Drosophila melanogaster: one gene and its partners. The gene in region 3 interacts genetically with the main gene of each other region. Each region holds a gene or a part of one and is shown on either strand. Other genes may lie near its edges.

The links.
Region 1: of mtrm (region 3) and BubR1, changing one enhances a phenotype caused by changing the other (phenotypic enhancement), as found in Drosophila melanogaster (one study listed by BioGRID).
Region 2: of mtrm (region 3) and grau, changing one suppresses a phenotype caused by changing the other (phenotypic suppression), as found in Drosophila melanogaster (one study listed by BioGRID).

What each region holds. Positions count from the first base shown.
Region 1 is NT_033778.4:5,966,432-5,979,098, forward strand, and holds BubR1 (Bub1-related kinase), read right to left. Parts: upstream 7,955-12,667; 5' UTR 7,853-7,954; coding exon 7,526-7,852; intron 7,463-7,525; coding exon 7,067-7,462; intron 6,691-7,066; coding exon 3,727-6,690; intron 3,565-3,726; coding exon 3,317-3,564; intron 3,257-3,316; coding exon 2,809-3,256; 3' UTR 2,668-2,808; downstream 1-2,667. Other genes in the region: CG7881 (uncharacterized protein), read right to left, coding at 260-278; mle (maleless), read right to left, coding at 8,759-11,037, 11,556-12,246.
Region 2 is NT_033778.4:21,007,937-21,017,330, forward strand, and holds grau (grauzone), read right to left. Parts: upstream 3,986-9,394; 5' UTR 3,910-3,985; coding exon 3,787-3,909; intron 3,710-3,786; coding exon 2,943-3,709; intron 2,881-2,942; coding exon 2,671-2,880; intron 2,609-2,670; coding exon 2,233-2,608; intron 2,170-2,232; coding exon 1,933-2,169; 3' UTR 1,828-1,932; downstream 1-1,827. Other genes in the region: CG30291 (uncharacterized protein), read right to left, coding at 1-371, 426-1,268, 1,320-1,494, 1,557-1,562; CG9346 (uncharacterized protein), read left to right, coding at 4,110-4,166, 4,226-4,342, 4,399-4,685, 4,743-5,161, 5,222-5,403, 5,466-5,509, 5,577-5,909, 5,977-6,219 and 4 more; Sou (souji), read right to left, coding at 7,966-9,264.
Region 3 is NT_037436.4:8,409,504-8,417,562, reverse strand, and holds mtrm (matrimony), read right to left. Parts: upstream 4,552-8,059; 5' UTR 4,489-4,551; coding exon 3,835-4,488; 3' UTR 3,460-3,834; downstream 1-3,459. Other genes in the region: CG32354 (uncharacterized protein), read left to right, coding at 1-724, 781-978, 1,040-1,583; Exo70 (exocyst 70), read right to left, coding at 1,745-1,847, 1,903-2,036, 2,106-2,428, 2,488-3,218, 3,281-3,345, 4,754-5,265, 5,336-5,501, 5,555-5,602; Oseg1 (outer segment 1), read left to right, coding at 6,070-6,134, 6,218-6,448, 6,520-7,974, 8,036-8,059. UniProt on the Drosophila melanogaster protein: Polo kinase inhibitor required to maintain G2 arrest in the meiotic cell cycle in females. Holds heterochromatically paired homologs together from the end of pachytene until metaphase I.

The DNA of each region.
Region 1 (12,667 bases), on a different chromosome or scaffold from region 3:
AATATTAACAAACTACTTTCAAGAAATACATATGTATGTTTATGGCTGAACAAAGTACATACATATATCATTTTTGGACCAGTTCGCTGAGTACATGTATTTATGTATTTATCCGTATATCTACATACATATATGGATTTGAAATCCATATATAAACTGTAATGTAAAATTACGATTTTGTTTCCGTACTAGGCAACAACTTTCGTTCGTTAAGAAGCTATATTAATCGTCACTACTGTTTGTTTATTCAATAATTTACCTTTTTCGTTGTCCCTCATTCTGTTGACGCAGTTTATTACTTGAATACTTAGAAAATGTCCAACGGAAGAAAAAATCGCCTCTTGCTACATAAGTTTTTAAAAAAAATAGTTAAGCCGTCAGCAAAACACTCACTTCCCACCGCGTCGATAGCTAAAATGTGTCTGAGCGTATCATTTAAAGCTCTGCCCACCATATAGCGTATATGACTGCAATTAGACATCAAGATTGGGTCTTTGGCTAATAAGTTTTATCAAAGTACCGATTACCCAAAGCGATAGCTGGATGCTACCTGCCGCATTCCAAACTTGATACTGTCTACCGACTACTTTTATAAGCAAACATTCATGATATAAACATTCAATCACACGCACTCCCTTTTCGCCAGTCATCTAGTAAGCGGTGGGACTTTTTGTGTAAAAACTCACAATCGTTCATTAGCCAAAATTCTGCTAGACCAGATCGCTTAGTTTCAAAAAGAGAAAGCGGTTTATGTGGACTCAATTCAAGAGATACTCTGTTATATGAGAATATACATATGTTATTCATTTAAGCAAATAGATAAGTCTTCAACAGACAATTACAAATGAAAACCTGCTAACTAATAAATCCTGTAAAATGTTATCGAAATGACTATTCAGTAAATAATATTCAAATATAATCAATGAAAGTCTAGACCTATGACATCATTGCGCACAAGTATAATTAACCAAGCAATTTACACCAATTACAAAAATGTATAGTCATGAGAAAATTATTTTCTGTAATTATTACATGTATGTATATTTCAATTTATTAATTTGCCACGGAGGTGCATTCAGATAGCCTGCTGAGTTCATCATCTTCGATGTGATGTCCTTGCAAGTCCAACTAAAACAACAAGGACAATGATTTAATGTTCAAGTCAATAAGCTTAAAGACGCTGTTTTATTATGCCGTAACACATCTACATAGGAATTTTTGCTGGTGAATGTTTTGCTGGTCATTACATTTGAAACTACCAAAACATTCTATATTCCGTCGCTAATTCTTTGTGTTCATTATCGCTCTTGTTTACATTTAAATGTTAGAGATAGTGGTGTTCAGTGTTGTTAGATGTCGATAGTTATCGATGTTGTAAGCTGTGACATTGGGAATATTCCGTCTGCACTAGCACTGCCAAAGAAAAATTATGTTAATCGATAGCAGTAGTTTGAATTTTTAAAGTGAACTAGAATTTGAGAACTAGTCCGAATGTTAAAGGATTGTTGGTCCAAATCCATTGTAACTTGCTTGACACACTAGCGCTGCTTAATCTCAACCTTCTAGTTCCTCAGATCTCGACGTTCATACGGACAGACAAGGCCAGATCGATTCGATTGATCCTGATCAGGAATATTTATTTATTATGATAGATAGAATAGTTTACAAAACTAGACTAACTTAAATAGTATAGCATTGGCTACAGGACCTACAGCTATATTGGTTTACAATGCAATTATATCTTAATCTAGTTAATATTAAATTTGCTAAATAGTTGCTGTGCTTGTTAAGTACATTTTTCCGTTTTATTTTTAGATTTTGTGGTATAATTTAATTTTTTAATTTATATACTTTATATGGTCCAAAACGTTTCCGTCTATCTGTTACATACGTTTCAACGAGTCTAGTATATAAACATTGAAAATAAACACTTTAATTTTTTCATTATAAATCATTTTTTATTATTAGCAATCACATCATTTTTTTTAACAAATACCGAGATTTGAAAGATCGAGTATCTGCGCATATAGACCACTTTTAATAAAGAGAATAACATCGTTGCCAATTTATGCATTTTTGCACTTGTGTGACATATTAAATGATTATATTATTTAAATTGAATAGTGTCGCTATCAATACATATGTATACACATACATAATTAATGGAAAAAAATGTAAGATATGTCGCCAAAAATAAAATTTGACATGTCCTTGCATAATAAGATGAATAAGATTTTGTGTGGAATACACAAACGACTGCCAAACGAGTCCGCGATTCATAAGCACCTACCGCAATCATTGCAATTAAAAGAAATGATCTCGTTTCCCTAAGATTGATAAACCAAGTTTCATGGCATCTAGTGAGAAGATATTCTGCTGCCGTCATTAATACATATGTATATGGCAGCGTCTCCCAGCTGAAAGATGAGGGGCAACGAATGGAGGATTCAAAAATCGTTGTTTCTTCGCCGAATAAAAGGGTATTTGAGATTCGTTGAAAAGTATGCAACAGTCAGAATTACGCGTTTCCAACGTAACTAAATTTATATTCTTGATCAAGGTAAACAGTCGAGTCGATATAACCATGACCCATGATGCACATTCTAGAATAGCCAGTGTTTTATTAGTTAAGTGCCACGGTTTCAAAACAGTCACACACACACTTTTAAAAAACCTTTTCTTTTTATTTTAAATTTTAAAACAGAATAGTTGCGTATTACTTATAGCAACCATTAACCAGTTAACAAGAACGTGTTAAGGTATGCAATGTGAATATGTTTATATTACTATGTTTGCACAAGAAGACAGCTATTTCTGCAATATCGTGTTAAACTTGCTGATTGCCTCGGCAACATATTTTTCCTTTTCGGCCAACGCACATTTAAGCTGCGTACGCAGTTGCTGCAGATTAGGCATGGTGCGACAATCTCTAATGTTAAGCAGAGTGCGGAAGATGTTTTCCCACATTGTGCGCTGAAAGTAGCGTGGCACGTTTGTTTTCGGCATCCAAATCGTGCTCGGAGACCGCTGCACTACTTCCATATAGCGGCCGAAAAGCAGCACATGCATAACGCTTACGAGACCATATAAATCCAATTGGTAAGTCCATGGGCGTCCCGTTCTCATCTCAATGCACTTGAATAGGTCATCATGATGAACATAGTTGAATGTCTGATTGTCCGGAAACAGCTTCATGTCAATAGACACACCGAAATCAATAAGCTGCAGGCTGACTTCGTTGGGATCCGCACATATCCTGAAACAGAAAAAACCTGTGATATTATTGGTGTTGACGAAGAAGCTTTCTGGTTATTACGGTTTCATAAGTAGAAAGTTATCCGGCTTGATGTCGGCGTGGATTATACCCATGGCGTGCAGGTGATCCACAATATCGAGCATTTGGCAACTCAGATGCATTACCACATACTCGTCCATATTCCTGTTAGTGACACTCTTAACCTTGTTGCATACACCGATCAGAGAACCATAGTCTGAAAACTCTGAGATGTATACACTGGAATTATTTCCTACCAGTGCATAGTCAATATGTGCATAGGATGGAATCTGTAAAAGAATTTGCATTCGGTTAATTCGTGTCATGTGACAAGTATTAATAATTATCCCTCTATATGATATGAATAGGTAATATTCTAGGATAATAAACTTGGAATAAAAACTATTTGAAAAATCGGATTTAATGTCCATATATTATTAGTTATGCCTTACCATTTGCTCACTAGTTAGCCGGCTGTGAATCTCTAGACAAATGTAGAACTCCCAGTAGTTAGTGGGCCGTTCCTGCTTGAGCGCGACCTTCTTGCCAGATTTCAGATGCTTTCCTACATAAACCGAGCCATAAGCCCCCTTTCCTATCATTTTAGACACCTCAAACTTTTCGTTGTGCACTTCCAGGTGGGTGTTAGGATGTAGGCGCTTAACGTGTCCAACCAGTTGACAATGGGGCAGCTTTTCGATGTACATAGAAAAGTCAATTGATTCGAGTAGCGAGCTGATCAGTTCTACATTGAAAGGGTTTTTATTAGCGTCTGCCAGCGTTTCGTTCAAAACAGTTTGATCTCCGTTTGAGGTGGGGTGAACAAAGTTTTCCCGCGGAGGAGTTTCTAAATCAGACTGCGACCAGGAACGGTGCGATTGCTTCGGCGTCAGTGGAGTTGTCTTATAGTAGATGCTTAGTTCCGACGCCTCTGCTACCTTTGCGTTAGGGATCAGCAGTGTGGAATTTTTTATCATACTGATATTTGTTGCAAACATTTCAGTAGCTGCGTTAAGCTCGAAAAACTCGTCAGGTTGTTTTGAAATACCGACATTTTCATTCACAGGGGCTTTCCTTGACGATTCTGACATGGAATCGTTGGAAAATTTGATCTTATTCGATGTGCTTGAAATATTCGTTTTGACAACGGAAGCCGGCATCTGTGAAGGACAGCTGCCTATTTCTGTGCAATCTTTCATAAACGAGGCAATCATATGGGAGTGCCCAATATTTTCCTGTTGAGTCCCTGGCTCCTTAATTGCCACCTGTTGCGTTTCGGGCAGCGTGCAGTCTAAGTCAAAGCTGGAGACCATTAAAGCTACTGGTTTTGACTTAGTGAGCTTTGGCTGCGTGTCGTCCAGAAAAATATCAAACTTCTGTATCGCCCCTGATTTTGCTACAGCTTCAGGCTGCGTTTCGGGCACAAAGGAAAGGTCGCACATAAAGGAATCCTGCAGATTGCTGATGCTGGGCGCAGCCTCCAGTTTGTTGCCAGTCACTGCGAAGGATCTCCGATCGCCCTGTGTCGATTTAAAAAGCTGTGAAGTTGGATCGAAATTGCGCTTCGGAGAGCCAAAAATATTTGTTTTCGGCGGTGTCTTTCCAAACAATCCACACAAATCGCTTTCATCCTCCAAAGTGGGAAGTTGCGGTGCGGAAAAACAATTTTCAGCTCCCAGTGAGCCATGATCCATAGAATTCTCCGGCAGTGCGATCGGCATTTGTGGGAGTGTTTCAGTTTTATCTTCCTGAAAGCAAGCAAGAGGTCTTGGGATAGTCTCTGTCTTATCCTCTTGGAAGCGCAACGACTTAAGCATAGGCACGCTAGGCGCATTGGGCTCCCATAACTCACGGCGCAAAAAGTTGTCACCACCCGGTTTTTCCGGCTCGGAAAGGACTGCTGATACACCAGCACTTATCACGCGCTGCAGACGCATTTGTCCAGGAGTGTTCTCTTCAATCTTGCTGCCTAGTTTAGAAACAGCATTGGATCCGGGTGAAGACGTGGAGGTAATAGTGGATTTAGTGGTGGTACCGCTCGTCGCCAAGCTTTGTGTGCCGTGCTCAGAGGTTTCCAATATGGTAGATAGTTGCTTTCGCAAAGTTGGAGAACGAGTCTCCACTGGAGATTCGACGGAATGAGCAGCCTCCTCTGGTAGCGGTAGTTCTTTGAGCACGGTTCCAAATTGACGTGACGGAGCCTGTTTCTGTGTTCCCTTAGGAGTGCTTACTGCCTGCGACTTTATGAACATGTTGAACATTTGCGTGGAGCAGGTCTCATCTCCGTCATAAAACGGCCTTGTTTTTGGAGTTGGCTGCGGCTCTTCAGAGTCTTCATAGATCTCTATTTTCGGAACAGGAACGGCCGGTACAGCAAAATTGTCACGTGGAGAACCGGAATCCTCAAATATTTTAATTTTTGGCTCATCTATTTGATCGCACGGCGATTCAGGTATCTTAGGTGCCACCTGAGAAGGTATATCTTTTACAATCAAAGTGGCTTCATCCTCTTTCTTTTCATCCTCCTCCTGCACAGACGAAACTCTGCGTGGCATGATGGATTTTCTGAAGGAAGAGGGAAAGAAGCTCTTGCGGCGTGGCATCTTGTTTCCGGGCAAGCAAACGGTTTCTTCCATGTCAAAGTCACCATGAACTGTCACATTTCGTTTTTCCATCCATTTAGCTGCCAACAACTCCTCTGGCTGGTACTCCTTTTGCTCAACTTCGTTGTAAATTTTGTCAAAAACTACCTGAAGGCCCGGTACCAGTGGGGGTTTCCAAAACTTGTCTAGCTCATCGAGATCTTGTGGCTTAGAATATCTGGCGAAATTCGGATAGCAGCGAATTCCTCTGATCACCCGTCCAGTGCCCCACCAATCATCATTGCGATGGATAAATGGATGCTGTGGGTTGCGATGCTTCAAAAAGGAATAGGCTCGATACTCTTCGGGCGAGAACTCGATGTTGGGGCGGGGGTAGAGGAGACACTTGTTATAGCAAGGCAGTCCACTTGCGTTTGGCTCGTCCTCAATAGTAACTGGCGTCACCCACGGTTCCTGAGGCCTGTTCTTGGCCACAAAGTTTGTCGGAAATCTAAATGGTTGTTCTAGACGACGCTCGTAGTTTGTAATAGGTGGCATTGCTTGTTCGTCAACGTGTATATCAAAGCCCAGATCCGGCGAGGCGTTACTGCCGAAAATTTTTCCATGTTTGTGGCGTTTAGCATTTGCCTTATTCCAGGCCACCGGTTCTTTTATATTCTCCTGACTGCAAGCCGAGTCGATAATGGATCGCAGGCTTGACTTCACCTCCGTCTCAGAATTAGAGATCGGAATATTTCCCTCAGAATTTTCGTCATTAAACACCTCAACGTTCCGACCTACATTGCGCCTACTGGTGGTGGTTGAAGGCTCGACCTGCAGAATGACAATGTATATTTTTAAAGAAATTTTATTCGATTTAAACCTTTTTTATTACTACTGTATATTGATATAAAAGCTTAGGTGGATTTAAAATCCCTTAGAAAAAATCGAGCTTAACGGCGGGATCTCCAAAAAGTTGGACAGGTTCACCCTAAGCCGTTTAATAAAATACAAATACAAATTAAGGTAAGGTGCACCTGATAGTCAAGGAAACCGACTCGTTCTCTATCGTTCTCTGTTGTTTCTGAATTCTAGAGAAGATAGTCATTAAACATGCATCAAACATAAGTTATAAAAGCAAAATTATACTTGAAACCGATTTCTCTAGCCAACCAAGTTCTTTGTAAACATGAAATAAAAAATCACCCACCTGAACCACGCCTGGGAGGCCGCTTTTAACTGCTGCTCCGGTACGGATGCTGCCCACGGTGATGCTGTTAGAGATCTGCTGCCGGCGACCATGAAGTGATTGCAGTGCTAGCCGTCGCTCGTTAAGTTCCTGGTTTACTGCGTTGGCCTCTTCACCAGTGCTGTAGAGCATGCGCTGGCCCACCGTATAGCCAAAGTGGTGGTGGGCCTCCTTCAGATCCTCTAAGGGCTCTGCGCGGCACTCTAGACCTAAGCGAAAGATCTCGTCGGCCTTGCGCATGTTACCGCTCAGGTCGTAGCTGTAGGCCCAAGCAATGTAGAAATCTGCCAGCATTGTTCCGATCCCGTTGTTGTACATCTGCTGATAAAACTCGATCTTGTCCTTCTGTTTCTCCATCTAAAAAGTGACGAAGTAAAATCGGTGGTTGAGTGATCGTTTAAAATATCATCGGCTACTCACGAATTTAATGAAAAGCTTTATAAGCCGCTTGTCCTGACGGTAGCGCTCGTCGTCTTCAAATTTGGTGAGGCACTGGTGTAGGACAGTCTGCAGACCGGAGCCACTGCCCCCCGCCGGATAGCTCTGCTCGATCCAGCAGATGAACGTGTACCAGGCACCGAGAGGATCCGCGCCTTTGTAGGTGCGCACCTCCTCCTCCATTTGCTTGCGTTGTGCCAGCAGTTCCTGGCCGTGGGTGGAGTCCTGGCTAAGAGAAGCCTGCAGAAGGCTCACATTGCGACCGCTGGCCAGCGGCTGAATGTTCTCTTTCGCATTGTCAAAGTCCATATCGTTCTCCTCAAGCAAATGACCTGAAACTTTTGGTTGTCTTGTATCGGTTAAACAAAAACTACGCGCCGAAGCAAATGCTAGAGATGAATGATACTACGCTCTTTCGATATTTTTAATTGTGTCGTATCGATACTTCGATTGAAAAACTGTTCTCACTGAAGCCGAAATACATACGATAAAAATTGAATTGCTTAGCAACACAACGTCATCACTGACCACCACTTTTAATTGGTAACGAAGCTCACCATCTTGACCAGTAAAAAAGAAGCGTAAGAACAGCTTACTCCAGTTACTATTACATTTCTGGTGCTCCTCAAATCTTTGTGATCTAATATTTATTTGATCAACTTTCATTATTGCTTCGAAAATTATGATATTTTAAAATCACCGCCATATCTGTACAATAATTAATTTTTCTTTTCCCTTCGAGTTTTGATAAGGCACGAAATATGTTTTGCATATATATGGCTTTTTATTGTATATATTGTTGTCATGACATATGTTTTAAAAAGGTCTAATTGCGAAATCAGTAATCGTCTAAAATGCTAGCAGAGATAAAAAATAATGATTACACAGGTTCACCAAAAGCCTTTATAGAATGAATGTTTTTGATCTCATTTTGTGACAATAAACGATTTCCACGCCTTCACAAACGAAATTCCAGCAATATATGTATGTATGCAACAGGTTAGGGAATGTCAGCGGAACTATCATATTTGGTTACTATTTACATACGTTAACTCGTGAATCTATTCGGATCGCACATGCGTATTTAATGCCAAAAAACCAAAAGATTCAATGCGTCTTATTTGTATAATCCCTTCAGCATATCGAAATGCGAATAGTAATGTTTATTATTCTTTTTGTTTTTGAAAAAACCAATACATTTTTTTTATGTATCCGTTAAAAGTTACCCCAGCGGCCGCCTTGGTCGCCATTTCTAAAGCCGCCGCCTGATCCTCTATTGCTTTCAAATGAGTCTCCAAATCCACCTCTCTTGTTCCCATATCCTCCGCCATTGTTTCCATATCCTCCACCATTATTTCTATAACCTCCGCCATTATTTCCATATCCACCATTATTTCCATAACCTCCTGCATTATTTCCATATCCTCCTCCAATATTTCCATATCCTCCTCCATTATTTCCATATCCTCCTCCATTATTTCCATATCCTCCTCCAAAAGTTCTGCCGTTTCCACGGCGACCAAAGCTGCTGTTAGTAAAGCGTCCTGTCTCAAAGCGACCTCGTTTGGGCGGTCCTCCGCCGTCACTGAACTGACGTGATTGGTGCGGCAGAATTCCTGATTCACGCTGCAGTCCGAAGTCTCCGGCGCTCTTAACGCAAAGGTCTTTGACCACTTTGACCAGCTGTGCATAGGGCTCCTCAAGGCGAAGTATGTCGGAAGGGTTGTCGCACGCCACCGTGATAAGATCCTCCAGGGCCGGCTTAAGGGCACCAATCTTGGCCGCAAGTTCCGGCTCTATGTCGAAGTTAAGCCAGTTGTCAACGCGCACTATATTGTTGGCGGCCAAGTCAATCTTGCGCGATCCAAACAATATCACCTGCAAGGGCGAGACCATAGATAGTTGCTTGCAGGAAACAGCTCGCGTGCGAATCTTCTCGCCGAAAACGAAGAACGGATACGGAAATGTGACGGCCAAGTTGCTGCAATTCACCGAGGTTTTGTGCAGTAACGCTGCTTTAGACTCTGTAGTCAGCACTTTGCGCTTCTCCTTGTGCACGCAAATGTTGGGGTAGAGACCCAAGCACAGCAGCGCCAGGGACACATCCAGCACGGGGTCATCCCCATCAATCCTTTCGTCTACCTCGTGCGATATCATACACTCTTCTGGGAATCCTGCCTGCTGAAGGAGATCCAGTAACTGCTGCTTGGCATCCCAGATAACGTTCATAGTACTCATTTGCAGTCCTTTCCAGTCACAGAACCGAGCTTCCATATGCTCACCGCGTTGTTTCTCGCGCCGCCACATTTGTGAAGCTACAATCATTGCCACGTGGTCGGAACATTTGGTACCACTCAACGCTTTCTGATGATTTGCCAGGCGACGTTGACCTATATCAAGACTAAACACCTCTGAGAAGGTGCTAGAGTACGAAGCCATAATGGCCATTAGATCGGCGCAGCCAAATACTGCGCCGAGGACCATCATCTTTCCAAGTCTTGGTTCAATTGGGAGGCGTGCCAGCAGGCGCCCCAATGGAGTAAGTTCATCGTTAGCGTCAAGGCAGCGCATCTCGCGAAGCAACACCTCAGCTTCGATTACTGCGTCTACCGGAGGTGGCTCCAATGCCTTTGACAAAAAGTGGTGAATGGAGCCCAGTCTGAGTAATTTAATGGTCAACGCCATCTCGTGCAACGGTGTGCGGAACATCTCCGGCGTAAGATTGTCCTCTAGCGCTTGGAAGCGGGCACGCGAACAGAGTGTGAAGCAGAAGCCTGGTCGGACACGTCCAGCTCGGCCCTTGCGCTGCTCCAAATTGGTTTTGCTTGCCCAAACGGTGGCGTAGCTGGTTAGGTTGTTATGTGAAGTAAAGAGCTTCATGCGCGCCTTACATATATCAATTACGAAAACAATGTCGTCAATAGTTATAGAAGTCTCTGCAATGTTGGTAGAAAGTATAATCTTGGTTACGCCTTCTGGAACAGGCTCGAAAACCTTGCGTTGCTCGTCTCGTGGAATCTGCGAGTGGCACGGCAAAATTTGGTATTGGGATGTATCACCAAAAATGTTTGTATTTTGCAGAAACTTCATAAGCGCAAAGATCAGGTTCCAACCGGGCAGGAATACTAAGATAGCACCGGGAATATTTTTTGACTTAATATGCATCAATAATGCCTCCAGCAGCTCAAAGCTAACGTCCGATTCGGATAGCATGGCCATAGCATTTCGAGTCTTTTGTGAATACTTGTCCTCGCACACCTTGTTATAGTTGATTTCCGCCTCGTCCTTGTCCTCGGAAAGCAATTGCTCCTCGTCCTCCACTTCCTTGCGCTTTCGGCGCGACTCCGCCGAAGGCACAAAGTCTGTCATCTGAATAATGTCCTCCAAGAAAAATTGCTGCACGGGAAATGCTCTTCCGGGTACTTCCAATACGGGACAGATGCCAAAATATTTGGAAAATTTCGTTGTATCAATAGTGGCCGACATAAGAATAACTGCAATAGAAGAGTTTCTATTAATTATAGTGTTTTCTAAAAGTCATATCATATTAAATTAGGACTAGAAATGTATGACCCGTAATGCATATAAGTTTTAAGTTCTGAATAGTAATTTTGTTGGGCATAAGTAATTTTGGCAAGTCAACTCTACATTAAATATGAAACACAAACAATTGGCAATGCAAATTTTCAATGGAACAAACTGACAAATCGACTATTAAGAACATAACATATACACTCTGGGCGGATCCGGTACAAACAATATAATCATAATCTTCATTAATTAAGCCAGTGAATTAGTGCAAAATAAGTTATTTTCGCGGCTCAAAATCTGCTCAACATTGCTTTTTATACATGTAAATGTATGTATATATACAATACATATATACAAATGTATGTATATATAAATATATAAGTATAATCAACAATTGTCGAAGAGTTTCACCCCAAGAAATTTGAATGCAGGTTATACATACGGATTTATGTTAGAAATATTGCACCTTATTCGAGCTTACCATGCAGGTCCGGATATGTGTCGACCATGTCGCGAAGGATGACCAGCAAAAAGTCGCTGTTCACGTCTCTCTCGTGGATTTCGTCCACAATAATATGCGACACTCCTCGTAAGCCAGCCTCCAGCTTGCGCAGCAACACACCCACGGTGCAAAAGAGGATTGCGCCGTAGGGTCGTGGAAACACAGACTCAAATCGCACCGAGTAGCCTACAGTGTCGCCCAATTGCTCGCACCGCTCGCGAGCTACGCGCTCGGCCACAGAAATGGCTGAAATGCGACGAGGCTGGGTCACATAAATATTAGCGTACCCGCCCTGGCCGGAGCAGATGTAGTCATCAAGAATGTATTGGGCAATCTGGGTAGTCTTTCCGCACCCTGTGTTTCCACGAATGATTACCACTGGATTGTCATTAATTGCGGTTAAAATTTCCGACCGCATCGCTGCAATGGGCAGCTTTTCGCGGAACTCGAGGAATTGTCGGTACTCGTTGTCGTTTTGGCGGCGATCACGCAGCGAGCGTTCGTAGTCCATCGAAAGGTCATCAATAGAGGTGGTTGCCAGTTCGCCTTCGTCGATGTTGCAGGCATGCCACGTATTCCAGTTTGCCTGAGGAGGAGCCCACGGAATCACGGAGCTTTCCTGACGTTTTTCGCCATCCTGTTGCGAGGAATCTATACGGCTTAAGTTCACCTAGGAGAAAATATTTTACATCGTACACTACATTTTTTGTTCGCAAAAAAAAGGTGGTTTGGGTAGGGCAGCGTATTCCTATGCTCATATAGTAAGGGTATGAATGTAAGAGATAACAGAAATAATCTTGTTCAAGATCACTAGCCAAGTCTATCACAACAAAAGCTTGAAAGTTAAGATTAAAGACGCAGATTTTAGTTATGCTAACGTAGCGTAAAACCTTCTTTGAAATATCTTTTGAACACAGAATTGGATTAGGTCGATTATGGTGTCTGTCGACGCGTATTGAGAGCTATATATAGAAAAAATACAAATGTTACAGCCAAGTATGCAGTACAAATTAATCGAGTTAAAGTATTTGCATTGTTGTTTCGGCATATCAAATATTTTTGAGGGACTGAACGATGTGGGAGTTACTAGC
Region 2 (9,394 bases), on a different chromosome or scaffold from region 3:
CCGCAGCTCGATGGTCAACTGCTTGAGCGCCTCTCGCGTGGCGCGCAGCTTCTCCACGGCCTTTGTCATTTGCTGCAGCTTGGTGGCCAGCATATTGGCATACTTTGGGGAGTGCTTCAGCTGGAAGAGGTGCTGCGTCTGCTTGTCGGATGTCTGCTGGATTATTTTCTCCACGGACACGAGTATCTTCCAGATGCTCTCACCGTCGTGGGTGGCAATGTTGTCCATCAGCGAGAACATGATGTCGCTGGAGGATTCAAGCTGCTTGAGCTCGTAGATACGCATGCGTAGAAAGGATTCCAGTTCGTAGATTTCGTCCAGGAAGCGATCGCGATAGTTGGGTGAGTCCAGCAAAGTGTAGGCCTGATCGCCTGGAACAACAAACCATTAACCATCATAAAATCGAGTATAATAAAAGAACTTACCCTTGGCAGTGCCGCCATCCATGCCGGTGCCCTCCACCACGATGCCGTACTCCTCGACGGGAATGTCAAAATTGATTTCCACCGCATCGGTGGGTGCACTCTCAATGCCCCAGTCGATGTTGCCGCCGTCGCTTTCCGGCAAATCCCCGCTGCCGAAGTCCCCGTAGTCGATAATCTCAGCCGAAACGGTCGACGAAGTTCCGCCGTTGTCATCCGTTCCGAAGTCAATCTCGGCCACAGCATTGTCATCCTTGCTGGCGTTGCCCTCGCTGAGATTTAGCCGAATGGGCGGCTCCTCGACGGCCAAGGGTGCTTCCTTGTGGATGTACTGGTACACGGTGGTGTTGCCAAACTCCACCAGGTGGTTCAGGATAGGCAGCACTTGCTTGTTGCCGCTGACCTCCGCATACAGGTCGATGCCCGGCTGAATATTGGCAATGCCCACCAGCGACTTATCGTATAGTTCCGGTAGACCAGATAGAACCTGGACGAACTCGGCATGCAGATTGTCGCCCTTGACGCCCAGTTGCTCCAGCAAAGCCGAGTGGTCGGCCAGGATTTGGCTCTCGGGCTTGTTCAGATCGTGCGCTCGCTTCTGGGTCTCGTCCGCCTGCTGCTCCAGCCTGGCCATCTGCTTTCGCACTCCGGGAATCTCGTAGTTCACATTGCGCACGAAAATCTGAGCCGTTTCGGCCAGGTAGGTGGCATTCTTTTCGTACAGGCGGCTAATCTCTTGCCAGTCCTTCATGCGCTGGCTGCCGTAGGTGCCGAACACGCTCTTGGTGTCCTTCTCCGTCTGCTTGAGGATCTCAATGATCTCCTTCACATGGTAGTAGTTGATATCTGCAAGTGGGACACATTAGTGGGATGGCATTCTGGGCACTGGGCACCTACTTGTCCGGGCCAACAGCTTGATCAGCTGCTCATTGGAGGGCATGTCCTGCAGGGCGTTGCTAATCTTCCTGTGGATCTCCCTAAGCTCCTGCTGCACATTCTTGGGCACAATTCTGCGGCTGATCAGCCAGTCCTGCAGCTTCAGCGTGTGTATGTCGATGGGGATCTCGGACTCCTGCTCAAATAAAATGCTGATGAGCGAAATATTCCCAAAGATTTCGTTAATAAAGTGCTTACATTCATTTTAATTAAATGTTTGTCCACGCAGACTGTTTTCTATTATTTTAGCAGCTGGCAGTGTGACCAGTCTACTGTAATAAACAAAGCGGATACTTCAACCATCATACCTTTTTTTTCCAATTGAAAAATTCAAGACATTCACACTGTAAATTTTTTAAATTCAAAAACAATATTTCTGAATGTAGCTAAATGAAACATTTAAATTCAAAAAACTTAATTAAAATGTAAATAGCCAAAAATCCCACCAATATGACAACAAACCGCTCGTACTTTCAAATAATTCCTATTATACATATATTTTGTTTTCAAACAAAGGTCAATCAAAAACTAAGCAATGGTTTCCGCAAATCGATTTCCTTAAGCATTTCCGGGCCTAACCCGAATAGTCATTGGCAATAGCTGCGACATCGGCATCGTCCCGGAACATTTGCGCCACTTGGGCGCTGGGCAGGACCTTCTGTGAGCTACCGGTCTTCGTCTTTCGCCAGATGTCCCACTCCACCGGATGCATTTTCTTCTTGTGGGAGTGCATGTTGGCGTTGGAGTTGAAGGTGCGGGGACAGAAGGGACACTTGTAGAGTGGCTCGCCAGTGTGCTGCGCCATATGCTCCTGCAAACATCAATCGCTTTAATACAACACATAAATAAATAAGGGTAATATGTATTATCCAACCTTAAGGCTGATGTCCTTCTTGAAGGTTTTGCCACACTGCTCGCAGGTGTAGATCACATTCGAGTGGGAGTAGCGCTTATGACCAATCAGCGCGCGGGAGTTCTTGCAGCTCTTGCCACACTCTGAGCAGATAAACAGCTTGCCCTCGTCGTTGTGGCGCCTCAAATGCTGCTTAAGATTGTCCTCGTCCTTCAGCCAGCTCTCGCAGTCAGGACGCGGGCACTTGATCCGTGGTCCGCTCTCCTCGAAGTGCAGGCGAACGTGCTTTTCGAAGACAGCCTTGTCCTTGATCTTCTTGCCGCACACATGGCAGATATTGGCCGCCTTGCGGTGCTGCATGCTGATATGGACCTGCATGTGGTACTCCGTGGCAAAACTGTGGTGTGAAAGGAGAACGATAAGCATTGGAAACACTGCCGTTTAGCTGGCGAGGCTCACGCATTGTGTTTGGGGCACTGCGGGCAGATGAACTTGCGCTCATTTACGGGCACATGGGAGCCCTTGTGCAGTTCGAGCAGGTTGCGTCGCGAGAAGCGTTTGCCGCAGTCCTCGCACTGGAAGTCGCACTCCTCGTCTGGAACATGGTGGACCAGCCAGTGGGCACGCAATACGCTGGAATTGGCGAACACCTTTCCGCAGTCCTTGCATCTGTCGGAAAGGAAAGCTAATTATCAAATCGCTTCGAATTGGTTTGGGTAAGAGAGACCCACTTGATGTACTCGGGATTCTCATGCCTCCTCGCATGCTCCTGGATGAGGCAGCGCTTGTTGAGCTTGCGTCCGCAGCACTTGATGTAGGGCCGCTCGTCCGGATGCTTGTCCTTGAAGTGCTCGCGGATGCCGTCGAAGTCCTCGGCCAAGAATATGCACAGCTCGCAGCCCATGACTATGTAGCGCTTGATCAGTTCCTCGTCCTCTTTGCAAAACGGCGGCAGGCGTTCCATCTTGAATATCCTCTTGGGCGGTCCCCGCTTGACCACCATCTTCTCCTTCCCCTTTCTGCCCACCGACACCGTTCCTCTTTTCGTTTTAGCCGGCTTGGCCACGTCCCGTTTACGTTTGCGTCCACTCCGGGTCACGATCAGGTCGTCGGTGTCATCATCCTCGTCGTCCTCGTAGTCCTCATCCTGTTCATTGTTGGCATCCTCAAAGAGGAGTTCCATGTCGGGTGACTGTCGCTCTGTTTTGATGCCCACCTTGCTGTCTTCCGGGGACATGGGTTGGCTAAGGTCTAACTCGTCCAGGGGATTCACATTTATCTGCGCACCGACATCGTTGTCGACGGCAAGGACGTCGGCCGGCATGAGCACCTCCTCCGGCCAGGAGGTGTTCACCATCTCCGGATCCTGCTTGAACTTGGAGGTGGTGGCGTATATCACCTGGGCCTCCTGTATGGACACGTAGAACTGATGGAACTCGGACACCTGCGTCCAGCAGACGTTGCAAATAACCTTGGATATCTCGTCGTTGGGCAGTACCTGTACGCGTTCCGGAGACGAGATGGTGGTAAAAAAAGATTCCCAGGCACAAAAGTGGGTGGAGGGCAGCAGCTTACCTCGAACCAGAAATGTTGGCGCAGCACCTCCGCCACCTTGCTCTCGCCCGAGTCCACATCGAAGATCTGTAGACACATCTGGGCGCCGCTCACTCCGCGTAAACAGAGGCGGCAGATATCCATTTCGCATTTATTTGATAAAACTATAATAAAAAGTAGTCATTTACATAGCTCTGTCGATAACTCCCATCGCAACTATCGGCTGCATCGTGATTTGTTCGCTGTTCATTCTGTGCACTGGTTGTACGACGTCGGTCACACTGGCAAATTGTTGGTTTTCCTATTTTCGTATTTGCTGATAATGTGCATATTGTGTGGAAAAGATGAGTAAACAAGGGAATAAAAGCAAGGATTCGGCTGCCGCATCCGCCACTTTAAAAGTAAAGGTGTCCTGTGTAGCCGGAAAAACGAGCCTAACATTTTTCGGTCTTGTTTTCAGCGGATAAGCGAAAAGAAGTTGGAGGCCTTCACGGTGGGCACCTTCTCCAAACGACAATTGTCCAAAAAAGAGCTCGAGGACCAGAAAAAAAAGGAGGATGCAGCTGCTGCGGCACATGTAGGCGCCTCTAGCAAATCCCTCCTCCACGCATTATAATCCAATACGATTTTTAGGCCTTCAAAGAGTTCGTAGAGACTTTCCAAGATGCACCCACCCCCTCCTCGAAAGTTTGGGTCAAAGCCGGCACCTATGATGCAGGATCCCGGCGGGAGGACAAGTCGGAGAAGGGCAAGCTATACAAGCCGGTCTCCAAGCTGATGGAAAAGAGCTCCTCGGACAAGGTCGAGGATTACGCCAAGACCCTGGCCTCGGATCTCAAAAAGGACTCGGGTCCATTGAAGAAGAAAAACCAGGAGAAGAAAAAGAGCAACTTGGAGCTGTTCAAGGAGGAATTGAGACAGTAGGCCCACTTGGTTGTGCATGTGTGTATTCCATACTAATTGTTTCATGCCCACAGGATTCAAGAGGAGCGTGAGGAGCGCCACAAGTACAAGCACATGGCCTCAAGCCATTCCGCACCAGCACAGCAACCGGCTGCATCAGCTGCTCCTGTGCCCAGCAGCAGTGTCTCCACCACCTCCCAGAACTCAAGCAGCTCAAAGGAGTCTGGTTCGTTTGACACGGGCGATCCAAATACCACAAACCTGTACCTGGGCAACCTGAACCCCAAGATATCCGAGCAGCAGCTTATGGAAATCTTTGGGCGATACGGTCCCTTGGCCAGTATCAAGATCATGTGGCCCCGCTCCGAAGAGGAGAAGCAAAGGGGACGCAATTGCGGCTTTGTGGCCTACATGAGCCGCAAGGATGCGGAAAGGGCCCTAAAGACACTGAACGGGCGCTACATCATGGGCTACGAGATGCGTCTAGGATGGGGTAATCTATAGATCTTATATTGAAGTTCTTATTCCTCATACATCTTACTTAATATTTCAGGAAAGACTGTGCCCATAATGAATACGCCCATTTTTACACCGCAAGCATTGCTTGAGATGACCCTGCCTCCGCCTCCTTCAGGATTGCCCTTCAATGCCCAACCTCCACCCAGTGAAGCTGATGTGCTGCCCAAGAAAAACTACAAGGAGTTCAACCAAGAGGACAAAGAGAATATGGAGCGGGTAAGTGAATAATCACCTGCTAGCGTCTAAAGAAATAAAAATGAAAATGTTCAATTTTGTAGATACTTGCCAAATGCGTCGTTAAAGTCCATATACCCACAGAGAAGTATGAATTGCACCAAGGACATTCACTTAACAAGAACTCACGTTACTGTGCTTTTCTTTTTTTCCAGGGCTGTTCTTAATGTTATCCATCGGATGATCGAGTTTGTAATACGCGAGGGACCGATGTTTGAGGCTTTGATCATGATTCGGGAAATGGAGAATCCGCTCTTTGCGTTCCTCTTCGACAACGAGAGTCCTGCCCACATCTACTACCGATGGAAGCTGTTCTCTTTGCTACAGGGCGATACGCCCAATGAATGGCGGGAGGAGGAATTCCGTATGTTTAAAAACGGACCGGTTTGGAAGCCCCCGATTGCCAACTTCTACACTCAAGGCATGCCAGATGAGCTGGTTGTTGATCCCGATGCTCCTGTGGTGCACAAAGGAGCCTTGTCCAATGCGTACGTTTAGCATAGATAATCCTCGAAACATAAATGTTTACTGTACTGTAAATGTATACTGAAATAGGCAACGCAACCGACTCGAGGATTTGATTAGGCACTTAACTCCTGAACGCGCCCGCATTGGAGATGCCATGATCTTCTGCATTGAGCACGCAGATGCGGCTGATGAAATCTGCGAGTGCATCGCCGAGTCTCTGTCAAATATCAATACATTGGCTTCAAAGAAGATTGCTCGACTTTATCTGATCTCAGATATACTGCACAACTGCACTGTTAAAGTTGCGAATGCTTCGTTCTTCCGTAAATCGTATGTATATATGTTTATCAAAGCATACACATTGAAATATCCCCTATTATTTAGTGTGGAAAAACAATTGTTGGACATCTTTGATAACCTGCATAACTACTACTTGAACATCGAGAGTAGATTGAAAGCTGAGGGCTTTAAATCCAGAGTCTGCAATGTTATCCGCACATGGGAGGAATGGACCATTTATCCCAAGGATTTTATGGCCCAGCTGACGGCCAAATTCTTGGGCAAACCTGTTAGTTAATGAAATTCATTTCAAATTGTGCATGTAGTCTAATGGAATCTTGTGTTTAGTACGTCAAGCCAGTCAATAACTCACCTCAAGCCGAGGAAACGCGATTTGATGAGGCTCTGGACGAAGATATCGACGGTGCGCCCCTTTCCGGAGAGGAAAAGGACGACGAGGATCTAGACGGAGTGCCACTAGATGGAGCTGCTTTGCTTAAGAGCGCCTTGAAGCGAGCCATACCTGATGCAGATGCTGGTACTCCAAAGCGTGACACACCTAAGAAAGATGAATACCTCGATGAAATCGATGGCATACCATGTAAGCATAAGAAAGTGATTTAAACCTTCTTACTACTAAGTAAATAATCCTTAATTCCAGTGGATGATGATCTCGACGGTGTACCGTTGGAAAAAGAAACCAAATCTACGGCTAAGTTGCCTGGCTTCATACCCTCAAAGTGGGAGACAGTTGATCCCCAGCAAGTAGAAGCGCAGGCGATTACCACCAGCAAATGGGACACTCTCGATCCGCCAGATCCACCGAAGTTCTTTAGCTCGGACGACGACAGTGGAGAAGACAATCCGCAAAAGTACACCGACGAGATGCGTCAGAAGTTAAGAGACATTGAGTCGAAAGCAATTCAGTACCAGGACGAACTGGAGTCCGGAAAGCGCCGCCTGGAACCAGGTTGGAGTGTCCCCGAACAAGTGGAACAATTCCGGAAGCGATTACTTAAACAGGTAAGATTTGTAACATACAGTAAGTCGGATGTAACAACTGAATTCTTTGCGAACGAACAGGACTCGCGATCTGAGGCAACTGTAGACTCCCCGCTCAGCTACATGCACATAAAATCCAAGAGCTCCAAGGTGAGTGAGAGTCCAGCGCTGTTCAGAAGCAGTTCCCGCAAACGATCCCACTCGCCGTTCTCTGGTGGCGAATCCAAACGACGTGACTATTCACCCGAAACCTCGCGCTCATCCAAATCCTCGAAACGCAATCGGTCGCGTAGTCCGTCCAGTTCACCGAAGCGGTATACAGAGCGGTCGTCTCGCAGCTCCCGCTACGAAACTCCTGCCTCCGGATCGTCGCGATCACGCAGTTCTCCAACCTCCTCGCGCTCCTCTCGCAGAGAAGAGCCATCGCCGCCGAGACATCGCAGCGACAAGCACAAGCACAAACATAGGCACTAGAGTGTCTGCTCTTCGGACGATTTGTATTTAATTAAACATGGATTCTACATAAAAACACTTTCGTCGTTTGTTTTAAATACACAGTATATATAATTTTAAATCTAAATCGTTTGTTAGGAAGTGGGACACACGCAAAACAGACGGCCCAGGCAGTTCGATTCCGCTCTGCGAATTTGTCTAAAAACATGAATCTAAGCAAGCTATCTTAAAATGGTTACGTTTTGTTAAGGAAAGCCGGCCAACCAACACCAGTCCTCGAACCGCCTGAGCCTGGTCATATAAGCAGTGGTGATTATCATAAGGTGAATACATAGATGTGGCTTAAAAGTAGATGCGAACAGCCTCCTCGGCATTCTGCTCCACGGGGCAGTAGGGGCACTTCAGTATGTGGCCAACACTCAGCTTGTGCAGGGCGTCGTTGGATATGACATGACCGCAGGTCAACTTCTTCGGCGGATTGTCCTCGGAAGTCTGCTGGCGCAATATGGGGCAGGCAAAGATCGAGTGGAATCGGAATTCCGGCTGCAGATCGATCTCAATGGGCAACTCGTCGCAGCCGTTCCACATGCCAAGGACTTGGCGCGACTGCATCACCTGCTTGATATTGAGCAAGGCGGGCAGGGCAGTGCATCCGGCATTGACCACAACAGACAGGGCGGAGTTCTTGCTAATGCCTAGCAGTTGGCATGCGTCTTTGAGGAATATGAACGACAGTTCGGTCCACTTCTCCTGGCCCAAGAAGTGCTTGTAAGGCGAGTTCTCCAGTCCACTGGGCAGATATATAAAGCTGGCCATCAAGTTGGCTATTTCGTGCTCATAGCGCACAGCAAACTTCTTGAAGTTCAGTCGAGCGTAGGAGATGGCCTCGCGCTGCGAGTCCAATCCGTAGGAGACCAGCTGCATGAAACGCATGCGGTGCAGCCGGAACTCTATGAGCGAGTGGCGGTCACTCAGCTGCTGGGAGTACATCTTTGCCCACTTGAGGGCGTCAGTCAGATCCCGCTTTTGGATCTTCACCCAAATGCCGTAGATGTCGGCAAACTCGCGCTCCGAGTCGAACACATCCTGGGCATGCTCCGGCGACATCTTGCACTCGCGGATTAGCGTGCGAGCCACATCGTCCATGCCCTGGCGACAATAATGCTTGGCAATGGCCTTGTTCAGCAACATCAGGTTCTCCTCGTCCTGCAGCACGTCCACTCGCATGGTGGACGAGAAGTCGGCGCTAAAGTTGCGGTCAATGGCCTTGCCGATCTTCGAAATGGAGCCGTGCAGATCGCGGTGCTCCGTGGACAGTTTTTGCACGCGCTCGTGGCACCTGGCGAGAGCATTCCGGACGCTCTCCACTTGGCGCTCGGTTAGGCGTTGTGGTGCCGTCGGTTCCGTCTCCACCTGCATGCTCACCGCATCGCCCATGGGATCGTCCTGGGACACCTGGGTGCTCGAGTTCAGAGTGGTCACCAGCTGCTCCGCCCTGCTGAGAACCTCTACCAGCTCCGACATCTGTGTGGCTATATCTCCGATGTCCGCCTCTGCGTTCTCGTGAAGCTGCTCCAGTTTGCTGACCACTCGGGTCAGGTCCTTCTCCACCGACGAACAGGCCAACGACTCGCTGTCCATTGTTAGCTCCAGTTTCGTGGGGTGAAAGCCTAGAAACCAGTCACGCCAGGCGCGCGTTCACTTTCGATTTTACAACCTTTTGCTTTCGAGGATTGATAGCACTGTGATTCTTCAAAGTCACGACGATATT
Region 3 (8,059 bases):
GAGCTGAGCCCGTGTGCGGCAGCGATGGTCTGATCTATGCGAATATCTGCGAGCTGCGCAAGAAGACTTGCTCCCGCAGTGGAGTGTCGCTGATCAAGGACGTGCGGGATGGCTGCGAGAGGTCGAAGGGTTCGGACTGCAAGCACCGCTGCAGCACGGAGAAGGATCCAGTGTGTGGTACAGACGGAAGGACCTATCTGAATCGCTGCATGCTGAGGGTGCAATCGTGTCGCGTGGGATTGGCTGCAGTGAAGCTATCGCATGTGGGTCCCTGCAGCAACACGAGTGCCGTGCGTGAGTCCTGTCCGGTTGACTGCAACAGTGCGCCGAAGGATGGACCAGTTTGCTCATCGGATGGCAATGTATACAACTCCACGTGCGAGATGAAGCTGAAGACGTGTGGACAGGGTGTGGTGAAAACCAGCCGGAAGCACTGTCAGTCCACACGAATGTGCAGGGAATCCTGCTGGCGTGTGGCGAGGCCCACTTGCGGATCAGATGGCAGACTGTATGCCAGTCCGTGCAAGATGCGCTCTTCCAATTGCGGCAAGCACGTCTTTGAGGTTCCCTTATCCTACTGCATGTCGCAGGAGAGGCACGGAGCCTCCGATGCCTGTCCCACGGAGTGTCCCAAATCGGATACGGATTCCTCGTCGCAGTACGTGTGCGGCAGTGATGGCAACATATACTCTTCGCTGTGTGAACTCAAAATGCTCAATTGCGGGTGAGTTTGGATGAGATAAAAATGGAATATAACCAGACTAAAATTTTATCTTTCAGTCCACAGCGCAAGTCCATTCAAAAAGTGAGCATGGACAAGTGCAAGAATCGACTGACCCGCTGCAAACAGCTGCCTCCTTGCAAGGACTTCAATAGCTTGTTCGGTTCCATCTTCAGCTCGAAGCGAAATGACAAGCTCTGCGGCACGGACGCCAAGACTTATAACAATGAGTGCGAACTGGCCCACGCCACCTGCCTGTGAGTATCCATGATAGGATCATCCATAGGACATGGATCTAGCTCTTCAACTTCTTTTCAGACGCGGCGTGAATCTGGCCCACATTGGTCCCTGCACGGATCTCAATTCGCCCACCAAGGATTGCGGGGATGCCTGTACTCGGGCGGATCTGGAACAGCAGCCAGTGTGCGGCTCGGATGGCAACACCTTCGCCTCCATGTGCGAGTTCAAGCGGCGCACTTGCGATCTGCGTGTGGTGCCCGTTTCGCTAAAGAATTGCGCTTTAACCGCCGACTGCGAATCGGATTGTGATGCCCAGCCGCCAAGTTTCGTCTGCGGATCGGACAACAACTTGTACAAGTCCGAGTGCCACATGCGCAAGGAGAATTGTGGCAAGCATGTTTTCGTGGTGCCACTGAAGCGCTGCCTTGCCGCCTTTCAGCTTAAAGGATGTGCCCGCATCTGTCCCAGGGAATTCGAGCCTGTTTGCGGCAGCGACAATAAAACGTATCTGAACGACTGCTTCCTGGAGATCGAAAACTGCAGGGCGAACCAGACGGTGAACGTCAACTACTACGGCGCCTGTGGCCGCCCCGAAGCACCATCCACTAACTTCCTTTACTAGGACGTATGTATGCGTGGCGTCTTCATTTCACTTGGCATTTAATATTTGTAGGCTATAGTCTTGTATTGTACTTTTTTTAAAACGATATTTATTGAGTTTGAATTAAAGCCCCCCAACGAACTTACAAGGAATGCACTTAAAGCCTGGCCTGCATTTAACATCTAAGCCGAATCATCAAAGAGCTTGCTCAGCATAGCGTTGATCTCGTGCTGTCTGTACTTGACGTATTTGTCGGGATTCTTACTAAAATGCACTCCAGAGTAACTAAAAATGATACAAGATGGTTAGGTATAAGCTGATAAACCCTATATACGCTTACATTTCGTAGAATCTATTGTAGATGGGCAGTATGTGCTCCACATTATCACGTTTGATGCCTTCTCGCAGGATCACATCGGGTATGGAGATGCCCCGCTGGATTTTGCATGCCTCCTCAAAGTCCTTATTGAAGTTCTGGAAATTATAGAGGATGTTTTTTTTTAAATCAAGAAAGTTTAGCTTATTTTAAAAATAAAAACCTACAGAAAATCTCTCTTTGAGCACACTGCGATCCTTATCCTTGACCTTGCCGGCCACTGGTTTGGGCAGTTCATCCAAGGAATAGATGCCGACCAGCATCTTGGACCAGGTCTTTTGATAGCTAGCCTTCAGTTCACGTATCATCTCCATGTAGCTATGTTCGCACTCAGGCTCAGCCAAGGTGACCAAATCAATAAGATTGGAGCGTTGCAGCGACTTGAGGATATAGTGAATGTTATTTAGTCGGAAGAGGTGCTTGGTGGCCTGGTCATTGTACTGCTCGCACTTGTTCATTATGGAAAGATTCAGTTCGGCCAAAGCTTTCTCTGCAAAATATAGATAGTGGTTTAAAAATGTTCGCACAATTGATCTTGTTGCCACTCACTTATGTAAATCGCCAAGAGCGCCTTATTGCGTTCCTCGACTGGCAGCGCCTTCTTCATCAAAATGGTGTCCAATTGCGTGGAGTACAGGACATCCTGTGCCAAAATGGAACCAATAACATCGAAATGATCGTACAAGTGCTCAATAAACCAGATCGTATTGGAGGTCAGCTCGTGCACGGTGGCATCCTTTGGAACATTGCTTTGGCCCACAATATTGGTGCTCGATTCGCCCTTGACTACGTCCAGGAAATGCTCCAATGCCTTGGCACCGGTGTGCTGCAACTTTTTTAGTACTTTTTTCAACTGTTCCCTTTGCGCAGGATCGTATGTGCGGTCAATATCCGGCTGCAGCAGTATAACCCGCTTTAGGGCGGAGAATATTCCCAACGCCGAGGTCCACTCCTTGCGGGAAATGCAGCGCAGGATGCGTTGCGTAATGGCCTCAGCGTCCTTAACCACCAGATCGATGGCATTATAGGCCAAGGTGGCGAATACCTCGTTGTGTTTCGACTGGGGAATAATGTCGATCATGATGGCTCGCTCCCAGTTAAGTAACCGCTGCAGTCCCAGCAACATGACCAGATACTTGTCCAGTTCCTGATCGCCATCCATCAAATCCTCGGAGGTCAGGTGGTCGCTGTGCGATGATGCCTTCTTAATGGAGAACCCTGTGGACTGCTCAATCGTCTGCGTCGCGCGTAAATATAACTTGTTCGCCTTCTTTTCGAATCTATGCAGAATAAATTAAATATATCATATACGAAAACTTGGAAATTAAGTAATATTTCTCACATTTGCTGAAGACGAGCGGAGGTTGTCTTTTTTGGCTCCGTTTGGCGTCCACTGTGTCGCGGTCTCTGCAAGAAAACATTTTAAAAACATTAATTTGAATTGTTAATTGCCATTGCATTAATGTTTCTTCGGAATAATTAAGGTACTAAAATGGTAGCAAATTAAAAACTCTTATTTTTGTAACCTTTTAATATGCATTTGATTCTTATGAGTTTATTAATTTTAAAAATGTGTGTTTTACAAAAGCGTTTATACCCCAATTTTTTTTTTTTTTTTTGACAAAAAGTATTATGCAATTTGCTAGCTTACGAAATAAATTTAAATTTGTAAATGAGCTTCGGAGCAACATTTTAGGAATTACATAGATTCTTAAAGTGTACTAGAGTTTATTATTTAAGGCTAAAAACGACGAGCTTTAAGACACCAGGTCTTTTACAATAATTCTAGAATACCTACTTAATTATCCACATATATTAAAATCACAAAGTTTCTCTTCACATAAAACATTTTAAAATCTTAGTGTATGATAAAAGATGGACATGCCAGCGATTCACTTAAAGAGTGTGGAGCACATCCATGATACGGTTGCAATCCTCATCGGTATTTAGGCCGATTTTAACAAGATCAGCACGCTCCAAGGATGCCAGTTCCACCAGATCGATGTGAGCCTCTTCGAAATTGGTCACATAGTTCTCCAGGCCCATGTGCATGAGAATCTGTTCCACATTGGCGGCATGGTTAACCACGTACGAGTGGTTCGATGCTTTGATGGAACGACGACGCGACTCCAAGGCCAGTGAGGTCTCCATATTCGAGTCATCCGAACAGGTATCCGGGCTGCTGCAGCTCTTTATTTCTCGCTCCGGCTCGATGATCTCCTCCTGCGGCTTGGGCAGCACGAATGGCGGGGGCTTAAGCTGAGTGCGATGGCAGTGCTGATGCTGCTGCTGCTGCTGCTGCTTGGGATGCACCTTCGTTGGCACTTTCTTGAAGGTAGCGAACCGCATGGGCGACACTGGACTCTTCCCCTTCGTGCCCATATTCTCGATGGGCGAGAGATTGGGCGAACGGAAGTTGCCAAAGATCGGAGTAGAGCATCGCACGTTGGAGGTGTTCACCTTCAGGGTGTTCCATCTGCGCTCCTTTAGCGTTGGCGTGCGATTAAGCGTAATTTTGGTCTTGTTCGTGGGCGTGCGAGAATTCTCCATTTTTTTTAGATACTGTGACACAGAAAATGATGCGTTCTTTGCGAATTCAAGCTGGCAAATGGCGGTCATCGAATTGGACATGTAATGCTTACATGCACAAGCTTTTTCGAACAGACACCGTTAACCGAAACGATCAGAGATGGGAAAAGCATACATATGCTCATCATCGTACACATCGCTATTCATATTCTACTACGTACTATTTTTCTCCACATAATATATATGTATTAATACTAGTTAGAATATGAAAGAACTGTTTACTCACCAGAGCCTCGTGACCCCAACTGTTGCTCTTTTGGTGATCCTTGAGCAGCTGCAGCGATCGGAGAACCACTTCGCCCCGTTCCGTCGCGTAGATGTTTGTGTACTCCCTTAAATTTTGCTCCAACCAGTGCGATATGGTGTACAGCTCCTCGCGCGTCGTTTGCGAAAGCTGCCGGAATGAGGTGTATTCATCGCTGGAATCGTCCTCTATGTAGATAAGATCCAGCAACTCCACCGGCTTCAGCGGAGCACTGTGCTTCTTGAGGAGCATACTATAGTGCTGACTCAGGCCTTCGCAGCCGGTGTTAAACAAACTGGTGACATTCTCCAGCTCCACGCTCTGGGAATTGTTGTGCCGGAAGTAATCGTTGGCATCGCGCAGTTTGGCTAGTGCGTCGAGGAACACCGAGATGTTTCCCTCCACCGGGCCTTGATGAATCAACTGGCAGACCTCTTGGGAGACATCGTAGTGGGACAGGACGCTTTCCAGACAATTGAGAGTAGCTTCCAGATCTAAAAAAAAAAAGAGGCGGTGACACATTAGTTTTTTTTTTTTGAAATCCCATTGAGTTTATTTTCATACTCTGCTGCCGTTTCTGGAGCTGCTCCGTCTCCTGGTAGACGGGCAATATGGTCTGCTCCAGGTTTCCCAGGCGCTTCTCGAAGATTGTTAGAATACTGGACATTTGCGTGGACAGATCATGGTATTTATCCACTCGATCTTTCAGCAGAGCTAAATTGGTGGCTTCCTATGAGGAAAATGGGTAAGTATGGAGGTTTTGAGCATGACAACTAGACATACCTTCTCCAATTTATTGTGCGCCTGCAATGAACTGTCCAAATTGTTCATTTTCAAGCGTATATGTAGCTAAAATCCTTTAAAAACAAACAATAGTTCTGATATAAAAAACAATTCTATTTTATTTTGTTTTGACGAAACTAGGCATTTATGCACACTGGCTTTGGTCATACTGTCAATTACCGCGTTGCCAACTACTTTGCACGAAAAAAAAAATTATAACGGTCATTTCAGATAGTAATAGAAACTTTTTTTAAATATTGTACACTTAGACAATTAGGTAAACGATAATGAGGCTATGTTTTAAATAAATTGTTTTTACTACTAGTACTAGTTTATTAGTCAAGTCCTAGTTTTAAAAGCCAAAACTAACGGAAAAACCCGCCAAACTGCCATCTCCAGCCAAGACGCCAACTTTTGTTGTGGTTGGTTGCCATGGAATCTGTGTGTAAACAACGCACCTGCATTTAGGAATTTCTACCAACTATGCAGGATTAGCCAATTCGACTTCTGCAACAATGAGGGGTGTTCTCAAGTGGCTGGAACGCATAGAGTTTCCCAATAGCAAAGACAATGAGATCAGGTAAAGCTTTCTCATTCGTGGAAAACAACAACCTGTTGCTTGCTATAACGCCATAACGGTATTTGCAAAACCCAATTTTCCAGTGTCCACAATGTGTGCTACGCACCCGATGGCAGCCAATTGGTGGTGGCTGCGGGGGATCGGTTGCTCATCTACGATCCAAACGATGGCTCCTTGCTGAACACCTTGAAGGCGCACAAGGATACGGTCAATTGTGTGGCCTACTCGCGGGATGGCAAGCGGTTCGCCAGCGGAGCCTCCGATAAAATGGTCATCGTGTGGTCACCTCAGCTTGAGGGACTGCTCAAGTATTCGTGAGTTCTCAGCACACTTGCAATAAATTCTAGTTTTTTATATAAATATAAAAATATATTTACATTCATAGGCACGGTGACTCCATACAGTGCATGAGCTTCAATCCTGTTTCGCACCACCTGGCCTCGTGCTCCTTGTCGGATTTTGCCTTTTGGTCGGCTGATCAGAAGGCGGTGCAAAAGTACAAGATATCCGCGCGTGTCAATGGCTGCTCGTGGACCAATGATGGACAGTACCTGATCCTGGGCCTGGCCAATGGCACCATATCCATTAGGAACAAGTTGGGCGAGGAGAAGGGGAGAATCGATCGGCCTGGTGGGCCCAACAGCAACGTCTTCAGTGTCCAATGTTGTCCGGCCAGCGGTCCTGGCAGTGTGGACACCATCGGTGTGGTGGACTGGAGCCAAACGCTATCCTTTCACACTCTGAGCGGCCAGATGATTGGCAAGGAGCGAACCCTGGGCTTTGATCCCTTGTGCCTGCAGTACTTTCCCAATGGGGAGTTCTGCCTGGTGGGCGGCTGCACTGGAGGTCTACACTTCTTCACCAGGGAGGGCATTCGGCTGGGTACGTTGGGCGATACCTTTGACACCTGGATCTGGACAGTTGCCCTACATCCCAATGGTCAATCCTACACCATTGGGTGTCAAGATGGAACCCTGGCCTGCTTCAACATTGCGTCTAGTACCGTGCATGCCCTCTACCGCGAGCGCTATGCCTTCCGGGAAAACATGTGCGACGTGATCATTCAGCACCTGATCTCTGGCCAAAAGGTGCGCATCAAGTGTCGAGATTTAGTTCAGAAAATAGCCATTTATCGGAATCGACTGGCGGTTCAGTTGCCGGAACGTGTGGTTCTCTATGAGCTGAGCTCTGGAGAGGATCAACCCATGCACTATAAAGTGCGCGAGAAGATCCAGCAAAAGTTCGACTGCAGCTTGCTGGTTGTTTGTGGCCGTCACATTGTCCTGTGCCAGGAGAAGCGTCTCCAATGTCTGGATTTCATGGGTGTCCTGCAGCGCGAGTGGATCATGGACTCGTTCATAAGATACATCAAAGTCACCGGTGGCCCCGTGGGAAGAGAAGGACTAATGGTGGGCTTGAAGAACGGCCAAGTGTTCCGAATCTTTCTCAACAACTCACTACCACTGCTCATCACCACTGCGGTGTCAGCGGTTCGCTGCCTGGATATCAATTCGAAGCGCAGCAAGATCGCAGTTGTGGACGATGTGGGTCGCTTGGTTGTGCGGGACGTAATCAACGATACAATTTTGTACCAGGATACGGGTGTAAACAGCGTCACTTGGAACACGCACCTGGATTCGATGCTCTGCTATACCCACACAACAGGCGGATTAAGCGTTCGCGTGGGGAATCTGCCGCCGAGGGCACCACAGAACATGCATGGCGTGGTGGTGGGGCTTTGCGGAGCCACTGCCTTCTGCCTGCGCGGAAATATTATGCACAATACGCCTTTGGCTCTCGGTTCCACCATGTGGCAGTTCATCGAAGCTGGATTGTTTGAGTAAGACATATTCCAATTCTGCTTGGAATCTCCTAATAAAAGATGTTATATTTTATTTCAGCGAAGCCTACCAGGTCGCCTGCCT